Linked DNA regions of Sus scrofa. The protein of the gene in region 1 purifies or fractionates together with the protein of each later gene. This does not show direct contact. Links are inferred from orthologs where the notes say so. Each region holds a gene or a part of one and is shown in the gene's direction. Other genes may lie near its edges. The genes, in order: RUVBL1, SHQ1 and H2AFZ.

Region 1 (3,651 bases):
CGAAGCTGCATCCTTGTGGGTATTAGTTGGGTTTGTTTCTGCTGAGCCACAATGGGAATTCCCCAAATAGGACTTTTTTTTTTTGTCTTTGTCTTTTTTAGGGCTGTACCCTTGGCGTATGGAGGTTCCCAGGCCAGGGGTCAAATTGGAGCTATAGCTGCCAGCCTATGCCATAGCCACAGCAACTAAGGATCTGAGCCATGTCTGTGACCTACACCACAGCTCATAGCAACACCAGATCCTTAACCCACTGAGCGAAGCCAGGGATCAAACCCACAACCTCATGGTTACTAGTCAGGTTCGTTACCCACTGGGCCACAATGGGGACTCCACCCAAACAGGACTTTTTAAAAAAGAAACACATGGCCAAAGCAGAATTAAATAACTGGGAGTTCCCGCTGTGGTGCAACTGGATTGGTGGCATCTTGGGAGCACTGGGACCCAGGTTCAATCCCCTGCCCGCATGGTGGGTTAAGAATTGGGTGTCACCACAGCTGTAGTATAGGTCACAACTGATCTGATCCCTGGCTTGGGAACTTCATATGCCATGGGGTGGCCTAAAAAGAAAAAAATTAAATAACTAAAAATTAAATGTAGTTTTTAAAGGATATTTTGTTTAGTATGAAGATTGAAGGTATACCAAATACTCAGATTTGAATCATGATGAAATTTTATCTCTTTAATTCTTCCTTATTATTTTTAGAAATGTTTGTTGGTGAAGATTTGTTTTCTCTAAAGTTATCTTAATATTTGTGTTTGTTATTAGTCTACTTCTCTTTTTATTTGGAAAGGTCTTAGTTATTAATGTTACAATTATTAATGTATAATTTTATTCTTTTTTTGAATTGTTTTTGTTGTGACAAAATGTGTATAACATAGAGTTTGCCACTTTAATTTTTTTTTGTCTTTTTTTTAGGGCCACACATGTGGCATATGGAAGTTCTCAGGCTAGGGGTCAAATCTGAGCTGTAGCTGCCATCCTCCACCACAGCCATAGCAATGCCAGATCCAACCCATGTCTGCGACCTACACCACAGCTCATGGCAATGCCAGATCCTTAACCCACTGAGCGAGGCCAGGGATCCAACTCTCGTCCTCATGGATGCTAATAGGGTACATTACGGCTGAGCCATAATGGGAACTCCCCATTTTAATTATTTTTAAGTGTAAAATTCAGTGGCATTAATCACATTCACAGTGTTGTACAGCCCCATCACCATCATCTGGAAGAGTTTCCAGGACTTTTCCACCATCCCAAACCAGAAGCTTTGTCCCCATTTAAGCAGTAAGTCCCATTTTCCTTTCCCTGAGCCCCTGGCAAACCTCTGATCTACTCTGCCCTGTGCATTTGCCTTTTCTGCATATTTCCTATAGGTGGAATCATGCAGTGTCTGCCTGTCCATGACTGGCTTCTTTCACTTACCATAACCTTTTCAAGGTTCGTACTGTTGTAGCCTGGGTCAGGATAGCATTTTATTTTTGCGATAATAAATACAAGTTTGTACTTGAACTGACTGGATAGAATTTCAACAGATTTCTTTTACCGAAGTTATATTTCTAGAATGTTTACTTACATTTGAAACTGAGTACTCCAATATTAAAAGTTAACCCCAAGTGACCTGCTTTTGTTCTTTGTTATATTGATGAGTTGTGACCATGGACACAAATCAAGTGGGGAGGCCAGAACTGCTGCTCTGGCTCCTGAAGGCAGAAGCTGGAGCCCTGGCTCAGCTCATTGGGCTTCCAGATGTGGTGGAAGCATGGCCTGTGTGCCACTGGGGCCTGCCTGGCACATGTCCCATCCAGAACTGGTGCCATGTGGCCTGGCAGGTTGGCAGGCATCTTCTCCTGGGCTGTTCTCTGGCTTGGCTAAGGATTCAAGAAAAAGCTAGGTAAATGACATGATTGGACAGTTCCTCAAAAGAAATGAAATAACGAATGAATACATGGGAAATATTCAAATGAGTCTTTAGTAATCAAGGAAATACAGATTCAGACAATGTGTTACCTTTCCATTTTCTAAATCTTTAAGCAGCAAACTAAGGATTAGAATACTCACTGTTGACTACAGTGTGGTGGGATCAGCTTACTCGAGTAGCTGCATAAATTAGGACATTGGTTTATTCATTCATTTGTCCAAGAAGATACTCGGGGTTGTGTCAGGCTCCACGAGAGTTGCTAAGGAAATTTTCATGGCTAAATGTATAAAATTATTTATCAAAGCACCATGAATAGTAGCAGTAACAAATGGAAACTGCCCAGATGCCCAGCACTTTGGTGGACACTTGATGGGTTATTAAGAGACTGAAGTAACATGGACAAAGGCATCAACGACAACAAAAGTCTATGTATTTAATGTACTTTATGAAAATTTGGCAAATACCTATATGGATATTTTGAATATGATTTTCAGTAGCTTTTTCTCCTCCTCCCCAAGTGTCCTGTGGTGTTGATATTTGGTAAAATATTGAAGTTGTTTTTGACGCCACCTGAGTTAGTCTGTGCCCTTTGCGGTCCTGCCTCTGACTCTCAGGACAGGAACTAGCTGCTTTGTCATCTTGAGTGCCTCAGCCATGGTTCCAGGGCCTGTTTCCACTCCCAGGCCTGAGTGATGTGGTCTTTCTGGGCTTTGCAGGGGAACGGAGGACATCACCTCTCCTCACGGCATCCCTCTTGACCTCCTGGACCGAGTGATGATCATCCGGACCATGCTGTACACCCCACAGGAGATGAAACAGGTGAGCAGCCTCCCTCCTTCACTCTCAGTGTCCCTGATGCTGAGGAGGAAAGTGCCTGCAGAGTAGCCTTGGCTACCCCACCTCCCACCACAGAGTTGGCTACACAGTAGGTCTCAGTGCTTCGGAGCCTTGGCCCCCATCTGAGCAATGGCTGGGCTTGAAGTGCCTATGGTCTTGGCTGTTCTCGCTTCTATTCTGTCCCTTCTGGTAAACAGGAAATGGACAGTGAGAAAATCAACTTGATGACAGCTATTAGGGAGACCACCAGCTTTAGGAAAGAGGCATTAGAATATCAGATTGTGATAGCCTCCAGCCCAGAGCCTGTCCACAGCCTTTTCTGCCCAGGGGCAAAGCCAGGCATTCTGGTCCACTGGAACCCATGGCAGGTCAGCTCTGGAAGGTACAGAACCTGAATCCTGGCAAAGCCCATCTGCTGTGACAGGGTCACAGTGGAGGGTTTCCTGGGGCTGCTGCTGAAGCCCTAGGGGTGTAGTGAAGCAGCCTCATAGGCGTAGAGGGCAGGTGGAATGGAAGGCATAAAACTAACCTTACAGTAAGAGACGTGAAGGAGGCACACAGCACTTAGCTCAGTGCCCGGCATAGTGCATGCTCAGTTCTGCATGAGTTCAACTTGGGTTGGGCTTCACAGTGGGAGATGACAGGGATGCCTGAGATTGGCCTTATCCCAAGGGGCACAGTCCCAATTCTCCCTGCACACTCACCTCTTGCTTGATCTGGAGATGGAGCAGCAACTGTGCCACACAGTGCCTCAGCACCCTGGGAATCCCCAGTCCCCTTCTGGTGCTTCCAGCCAGTTATTTGCCATTTTAATTGCTGAGTCACTGAGTCTAAGACACAAAGCCAGGTTGTACCCTGCTGAGCCCAGCCATCTGCTCTGCCCACCCTCACCCCA
Region 2 (3,651 bases), about 18 Mb from region 1:
CACCTGTTTGCATGTGTATTTACATTGGGTTATAGTATATGCTATTATTTATTTTATTTATTTATTTTCGCTTTTTGGGGCCAAACCTGCAGCATATGGAAGTTCCCAGGTTAGTATATGAATTGGAGCTACAGCCCCTGGCCTTTGCCACAGCCACAGCAATTTGGGACCCGAGCCGTGTCTGTGAACTACACCACAGCTCACAGCAACGCCGGATCCCCAACCCATGGAGCAAGGCCAGGGATCGAACCCTAATCCTCATGGATCCTAGTTGAGTTTGATAACTGCTGAGCCATGGAGGGAACTCCCAGCCATGAAGGGAACTCCCTATGCTATTATTTGACCTGCTTTTCTCACTGAACATGGTAGCATTTGCTTAGTGTTAGGAGAAGGAGTCGATATGTGCCAAATTTTTTGCTGTTAGAATTCTGAAAATTTCAACAGTGATTTTTGAGATTTGCATTTGACTCCAAAATGAATATTAATGAGTATATTGAGGTCATACTGTAACTGAAAAAGGGGTTTTTTTCCACTCATCTTTTTAGGATACCATAGTTGGAGAAAATGTTTTCTTCGACAGAAAAAGTGCTTCATATTGCTTGAGGAGATTGAGAATATGTAGTTATGCTCGATAAAACCTAGCATTTTTTATTTTTACATTCACATATTTAAAATTGTGAAGTCCTGAAACTTCAGGATTGCTCTCTAGAATGTACTTCTTCTCACAGGCATTCTCTGAAAGGCCAAATGCTTGAGCAGCTTTTTAAGTGCCACAGAGAATACTTGAACATTATCTCTCAGTTCTTTGGTAGATTATTTATAAATATCTGGGAGGCAAGTAAAACCTAGTTGGGAAGGACAGAAATTGAGCACGCATTGCTTTGCTTTAGCTTTAAAGCCCTTGCTTATGTGCTCTTGTGTTCTGGTACTCTTATCAGTGTGAAAGCTTTACTTTCTAAAATTCCAAACAGAGTAGGCAGAAACTCGCCTTTGATCACCCTGGCATCATTAAAGTCATTACTTTCCCGCAGTCCTAAATGCTTCTTAGTTCTTATATGATACTAGTTGAATAAGTGGATGTATTTGCTTTGTTGAATAAGTGGATGTATTTGCTTTGTTTTTAAATGACTTTGTCTCTAATGTGACAACCTTATTTGTTTTCTTCAAAACAAATAAGGTTGAATCTGCATGGAATATCAGAAAACTGAGTCCAACGCTGTGCTGGTTTGAGGTATGATTTTCAGTTGTACTTGCTTTGATTCTGTTTGTTCAGAGAGTTAATTTTTGTTGTTATTAGTTTATTTTGGGTCAACCAAGCAATTCCTTGATTTTTAAAAAGTGGTAGCTTTATTGTCCATTTTTTTCTTTCCATCTTTTTAATAAAAATCTGATTCCATTTGTTACTCTTACACTAATCCTAGTATAATAATGAGACCAGTTAGGATATTTTGGAAGTCAGGAAAGGGAGCACAAACTCTGGAGAAGGAATGGGGACAGAGTCTTTTGGGGCAGGATATGGGTGGAGTTTGAGGCATGGAGGTAGGTTGGTATGTATTGAGGTTCAGAGCTCACAGATGGGCAGCAAATCTAGGTGATAATATTCTTAGCTGCAACTTGCCACCAGGGGTTGTGCCAAGCCTTTTAAGTATAGGTGTATATTCCTTCACCTGTTCCCTTCAGTAAGTCTGTGAGATAAATGTTATTGATATTTTACAGATGAGGAAACTTGTATCATATAGCTTAAATAACTTAGCCTAGGTCCTACAATTAGTATGTTTAGATCTGATAACTCTCTAGTATAATAATAATTGTTTTTATAATCTATTTTCCAGAGAATAGTTGTGTAGATCTTACCAAAAATAGCTAAACATAGGCTGGCAGCTACAGCTCAGATTCAGCCCGTAGCCTGGGACCCTCCATATGCCGTGGGTACATTCCTAAAAAAAAAAGAAAAAAACAAAAATAGCTAAGGATGGTATCCGTAAATCTACTAGCTTTGAACACACTGTCGTACATCAAAAAAGAAGCTTCAAAAAAATGCTGATTTCAATAATTGATAATTGCATCATCTATTAAAGGCAACTAGTTTTGTTTCTGTGTGTGTGTGTTTCTAGTTTAAATCTTAGATAGTGTTCATTTTAAGTTGTAAAATCAAAATTGTGTCTGTGGAATCACTTTGTTCAAATAATAGATAAGATGTAAACAGGAACCAAAATAATTAACTTTATCAGAGAATCTTAGCAGAGAATGTATCCTCTTCTGGCAGCTTGTTGGAAAGACAGAATCCCAATCCATACCCCCTGAGTTAGACTAGGTAGCAAGATCTCCAGGAATTCGTATGCATATTTAAGATGGAGAAGTGCTATTCTTTGAACTTCGTGTGGGTTCTGCATATTTCCATGATCAGTAGATTAATGGAGAAACTGGCTTTTGTAATGGTCACTTGATTACTTACACTGAAAACAAAGTAGTTGGTGACTATATAATTTCATAGTTATTAAAATTTACATGAAGAAATTGACCTATTTGACTTTATTTTGAAATTTTTATTGTTTTCGAGGTAACAGAATTGCCAGACATGTTAATAGTTCTATCATACCTTTATTTCACTTCTTGACAGAATTTTTTAAAAGTTCCTTTTTTTTTTTTTTTAGCTATAAACTATTCTTTTTGGGTGCTCGGTATTTGTAATCAGATGATTTATTCGTTAAGGATACCTACATGGAAATACATACATACATGGAAAGGATACATACATGGAAACGATGTTACTCTCAGTTTTAATTTTATATTTTAAGTATTATATATGGGTTACATTTGTTATACATTTTAAATTAAAACCCAATTTAAAAAATTTTGTAAAAATTTATCTTTTTCTAGTGTTTTCAGTAAGTTTTGTGTTGCTAATGGTATCAGTCTGATACCTGTCAAGATAAAGAAATGAGTAGTTTCTCTTTGATAAGTGAAAGCAAATTACTGAAGTAAATGCCAAAAGCTAAAGAAAAAGAGAGAAAAGGAAGAGGGGAACTGTGAACCCCTTCACTCAAGAGTTCTGTATTTTTCATCTACATTATCTTGAATGCTCCTAAAAGACAAAAACATGAAACATAGATCATTTAGAAATGTCTTTTATGTTCATCTGTATTTTGTTAGTGCCATATGTTTTGCATTCAGATTGGTAACTTTTAAAAGACTTTTAAAAACTTTCCTGCTATATATGTGATTTTTAAGGAGCATTTTTGATATGTTGATAAAGTGTGAGAAATTATGACTGAGATAAAAATTATATTGCGAGGTGTAAAGAAAGAGTCTCATTCCATGGCTTTGTATTTGTCTTCCACTTGGCTTGATGATGATCCAGACTTAGTTTTTAATTGAGAATAGTTATGCGTTTGTTGTGTGCTTTTGTTTCGTGTAATATGGAAATGATTACTTATTTAAATGATACTTCACAGACTTGGTCTAATGTTCATGAGATCCTGGTGTCTTTTGGAAGACGAGTTTTGTGCTACCCACTTCACCGCCATTTCAAGCTGGTGATGGAAGCCTACAGAGACACTATAAAGATATTGCAACTAGGTAAGATATTATTGTGACTGCACATTTGAGAATGAAAAGTTTATGTGCTTTTAGTCTGTGAAGATGTAGTCG
Region 3 (3,751 bases), on another chromosome or scaffold:
CTGTTAAAACTCCAAGTATGAAAGATTTGGATCACTACTGTCTCCAAGCAGCTGGACGTGTACAGAGGTGCTATTAATCTATTAGTTGGAAAATTAAGTAGCTGGCATTATGATAGTACTGTGTGTACAGTACTATTTTTTTAAGCCCATCATTTGCATTTGATTACATGGACCATCTGTAACTGCCTGTGAATCATATGAGGACATTTACCGAACATTTGTCAAGTAGCAAAATGTTTAGCATAGAAGAGTTGACACATAATAGCCTTCATGTTTCACTAAATCAACTTTAGAAGCCAGGCTATAGGTACAACCCACAGACGTGTAGTCTTTAGAAAAATATGATTTGATTAAAGAATACCGCCTCAGCCCAAGCCTTCAGTGGGTAGACCAAAAGGTCTTTTATGACCAGCGAGGTGACTTTGCTTCACCGTCTTTTCCATGAAACTGTTCTGTTGGGGTTGGGGAGGTAGGGGGTTCAAAAAGTCCTGAGAAAAGAAGAGGAAGGAGATACAGCTGAAAAAGTGGGAGCAGAGGGTCGTGATGAATCGGTGGCTGGGCACTTGCCTAGGAGGAACAAACGCGAAATCACTACCCAGACTATGGTTAGCGAAGGAGTCGGGGCGCCTTTCACTGGACGCCTTCGCGCCACCTGTCAGACCGGAGGTGTCAACGGGAATGCAGGGGGGTCGGTGAAGGTACCCCGTGCTCCGGAAGAAGGCTGCGGACAGGCGGGTCTCTGCCCGCCAGGTGTTCTAACGGGGCGGAGGCGGAGGGAGGGCAGGGCAGGAAGGAGGGAGTGCTAGTCCCCGCTTTCCGAGGTCTCTGGAACCGAGCAAGGAGGCAAAGGTGGAATAGGGGGCAGCTACTGCGTGCCCCTCCCCTGAGCCTCTCAGCTCCTCCCTCCAGGCACGTGACTAAGCCGGCGGGTGCCCTGCTCAAGCAGCGTAGCTCGCTCTGTTTCTTCCCTCCCGCCGCTGTGCCCTTCTTCTCCCGGGTTCCCATCCCTCCGTTCTCCCCCACCTCCTTCTCATGCCCCAATAACAGCTCGAGCTGCAAAGCGCCCGCCCCTCCGCCCTTTTCTTCGCTTGCTCATTGGCTGAGACTTCAAGGACGCGGCCCGAGGGCGGGTGGCAGCCATTGGTGGGATGAGCAATCCGAGTTCCCGGATGAGGGAACATTCTGCAGTATAAAGGGAGCGGGGAAGGCGGGAGACAGCGCAGTTTGAATCGCGGTGCGACGGAGGAGTAGGCGGCGGGATCTCGCTTGGTGACTGACTAGTCCTTTCTCTGCCTTGCTTGTTTGAGCTTCAGCAGAATTCGAAATGGTAAACTTCGCGGAGGCGCTCGAAGACTACGCGGGTTTTTGCCGGCAGGAGAAAAACCCGTTACACACGGAGATGGGGGTGAAGCGGTGACGGTTGGGAACGCGCGGAGAGAGGATGTGGAAGAGCGGGGGGAGGTGTTTTGTCGGCGGCGAGCGGAGCAGCCTCCGATCTCGCGGCGGGCGGCGACGGTTGGGTGGCGCGCGCAGCGCCGCTGGGAGCCGGAGGGCGGTGAGCGGGCGGCCTGAAGCGCGCGGCCGCGGCGGGCGCGCAGCGGGGGGCAGGCGGGCGGGGTCGCCCTTGCGGCGCGCGGCGGGCCGGAGACCCCGGCTGGGCACCGGGCCCCGCTCGCGCCCGGGCCGCCCCGCGGTGGGGGAGGGGCGCGCCGCCTTGGTAATCCTGTATTCTGCGTTCCTTCTTCGCTCGCGGGCGTGTGCGCGCCGCAGGCTGGCGGTAAGGCTGGGAAGGACTCCGGAAAGGCCAAGACAAAGGCGGTTTCCCGCTCGCAGAGAGCCGGTTTGCAGGTCAGTGGGGGTTTCTGCTGTCTGGGAATCGCGGCGTTTTTCTCTCCTTTTTCTCTGTTTATCATTGCACTAGATGAGCTTTTGGTCTTTGCGTGGTGATGGTGTCGGGACTTGGTTTACCGATACAATAAATATTGGGGAAGGGGGGGCGATCACGTGTGGCGATGCTAGGGCGCGTTGCTGCATCAGCCTCCGTGCCCCTTGCTTTGGCGCGCGTATAATTTGACCATTTTTGGCTCCTCTATCTTTGTGCATTTGTGTTTGTGTATGCGAAAAATGAAGTTTCCGGTGGGCCGTATTCATCGACACCTGAAATCTAGGACGACCAGCCATGGACGTGTGGGCGCGACTGCCGCTGTGTACAGCGCAGCCATCCTGGAGTACCTCACCGCAGAGGTAAATGGGTGTACGCCTGTAATCTGGAAAAGGTGGTGGGGGGAGGCGGTGAGAGGGAAGGAGGAAAGTGATGCAAGAAAACTCCCAGGCTCTGAACGCGGTGAGAAGCTTCTGACAACGCTAGAGGGGGCTGGTGTTCATTTTGGGTTCCTCCTGAGCTTGAGTTGACTGCTTTAGGAAATAAAATTGCGTGTCCCCTTTATAGCTTTTGCATATCTTGCCATTCAGGTAGTGGGGGGAGACGGCAGTTGGTAGATACACGTTCACGAAGGTTTGATTCTTCTGGATCTTGATCCTAAGGAAAGTTGGCAGGAGATTGATTAGATTCTGTCTTCTAGGTACTTGAATTGGCAGGAAATGCATCAAAAGACTTGAAGGTAAAGCGTATTACTCCTCGTCACTTGCAACTTGCTATTCGTGGAGATGAAGAATTGGATTCTCTCATCAAGGCTACAATCGCTGGTGGTGGTATGTAAATACTAAAAATTTTTTAATTTCTTTAGATAATTCTTTACTTTTTTCCCCCACTAGAAGAGGACACTTAGTGTTATTTTCAGTGATCTGTAGTATGGTTGCATCATGAAAATTGATTCCTGTATATAACTTAGTGAATTTTTACTTCTGCATACTCTGGCCTCACATTTAAAGACTTCTTCGAAGTTGAACGTTAAACTGTCATGGTTTTGAAGTCCTGTGTTAATTTTCAAAATAATGTATATTTAAAAGTATCCCTTTCCTCCCCTAGGTGTCATTCCACACATCCACAAATCTCTCATTGGGAAGAAAGGACAACAGAAGACTGTCTAAAGGATGCCTGGATTCCTTATTATCTCAGGACTCTAAATACTCTAACAGCTGTCCAGTGTTGGTGATTCCAATGGACTGTATCTCTGTGAAAAACACAATTTTGCCTTTTTGTAATTCTATTTGAGCAAGTTGGAAGTTTAATTAGCTTTCCAACCAACCAAATTTCTGCATTCGAGTCTTAACCATATTTAAGTGTTACTGTGGCTTCAAAGAAGCTATTGATTCTGAAGTAGTGGGTTTTGATTGAGTTGACTGTTTTTAAAAAACTGTTTGGATTTTAATTGTGATGCAGAAGTTATAGTAACAAACATTTGGTTTTGTACAGACATTATTTCCACTTCGGTGGATAAGCTCAATAAAGGTCATATCCCAAACTAGTTGTGTATTAAATTCACTTGATTATGATGGGAACAACTTTTGTTTTGAATAACTATCTTATCCAGCAATAACTTAATAAGCACGTTTCTTACCTTGAAATTAAAATGTTAATTTTGTAGATCAACAAACCTCGAAGGCTAAAGCATATATATATTTTTTAATGCTATGAGATGAACTATTAAAGATTTTAAAACTTCAGTAGGAGCTTGGAACTGGACAAGGTGATGTTTTTTAGGTTAAATTTGATCATCTCAATTTGTCGCTGCACTTGCTGTTTGTGACAGCAGCACTACATCCAGAGCACTGTCATGGACTGGGGCAG

Evidence for each region.
Region 2: the proteins of RUVBL1 (region 1) and SHQ1 purify together in Homo sapiens (affinity purification with mass spectrometry; 3 studies listed by BioGRID and IntAct, counting the BioPlex papers as one, with this or other methods). This does not show direct contact. The link is inferred for Sus scrofa from reciprocal best matches to the Homo sapiens genes RUVBL1 and SHQ1.
Region 3: the proteins of RUVBL1 (region 1) and H2AFZ purify together in Homo sapiens (affinity purification with mass spectrometry; 6 studies listed by BioGRID and IntAct, with this or other methods). This does not show direct contact. The link is inferred for Sus scrofa from reciprocal best matches to the Homo sapiens genes RUVBL1 and H2AZ1.

What each region holds. Positions count from the first base shown.
Region 1 is NC_010455.5:72,238,231-72,241,881, forward strand, and holds part of RUVBL1 (ruvB-like 1), read left to right. Parts: intron 1-2,635; coding exon 2,636-2,738; intron 2,739-3,651. UniProt on the Homo sapiens protein: Possesses single-stranded DNA-stimulated ATPase and ATP-dependent DNA helicase (3' to 5') activity; hexamerization is thought to be critical for ATP hydrolysis and adjacent subunits in the ring-like structure contribute to the ATPase activity.
Region 2 is NC_010455.5:54,139,116-54,142,766, reverse strand, and holds part of SHQ1 (protein SHQ1 homolog), read left to right. Parts: intron 1-1,177; coding exon 1,178-1,231; intron 1,232-3,455; coding exon 3,456-3,579; intron 3,580-3,651. UniProt on the Homo sapiens protein: Required for the quantitative accumulation of H/ACA ribonucleoproteins (RNPs), including telomerase, probably through the stabilization of DKC1, from the time of its synthesis until its association with NOP10, NHP2, and NAF1 at the nascent H/ACA RNA.
Region 3 is NC_010450.4:120,562,613-120,566,363, forward strand, and holds H2AFZ (histone H2A.Z), read left to right. Parts: upstream 1-1,139; 5' UTR 1,140-1,324; coding exon 1,325-1,327; intron 1,328-1,770; coding exon 1,771-1,848; intron 1,849-2,130; coding exon 2,131-2,244; intron 2,245-2,582; coding exon 2,583-2,712; intron 2,713-2,989; coding exon 2,990-3,051; 3' UTR 3,052-3,411; downstream 3,412-3,751. UniProt on the Homo sapiens protein: Variant histone H2A which replaces conventional H2A in a subset of nucleosomes. Nucleosomes wrap and compact DNA into chromatin, limiting DNA accessibility to the cellular machineries which require DNA as a template.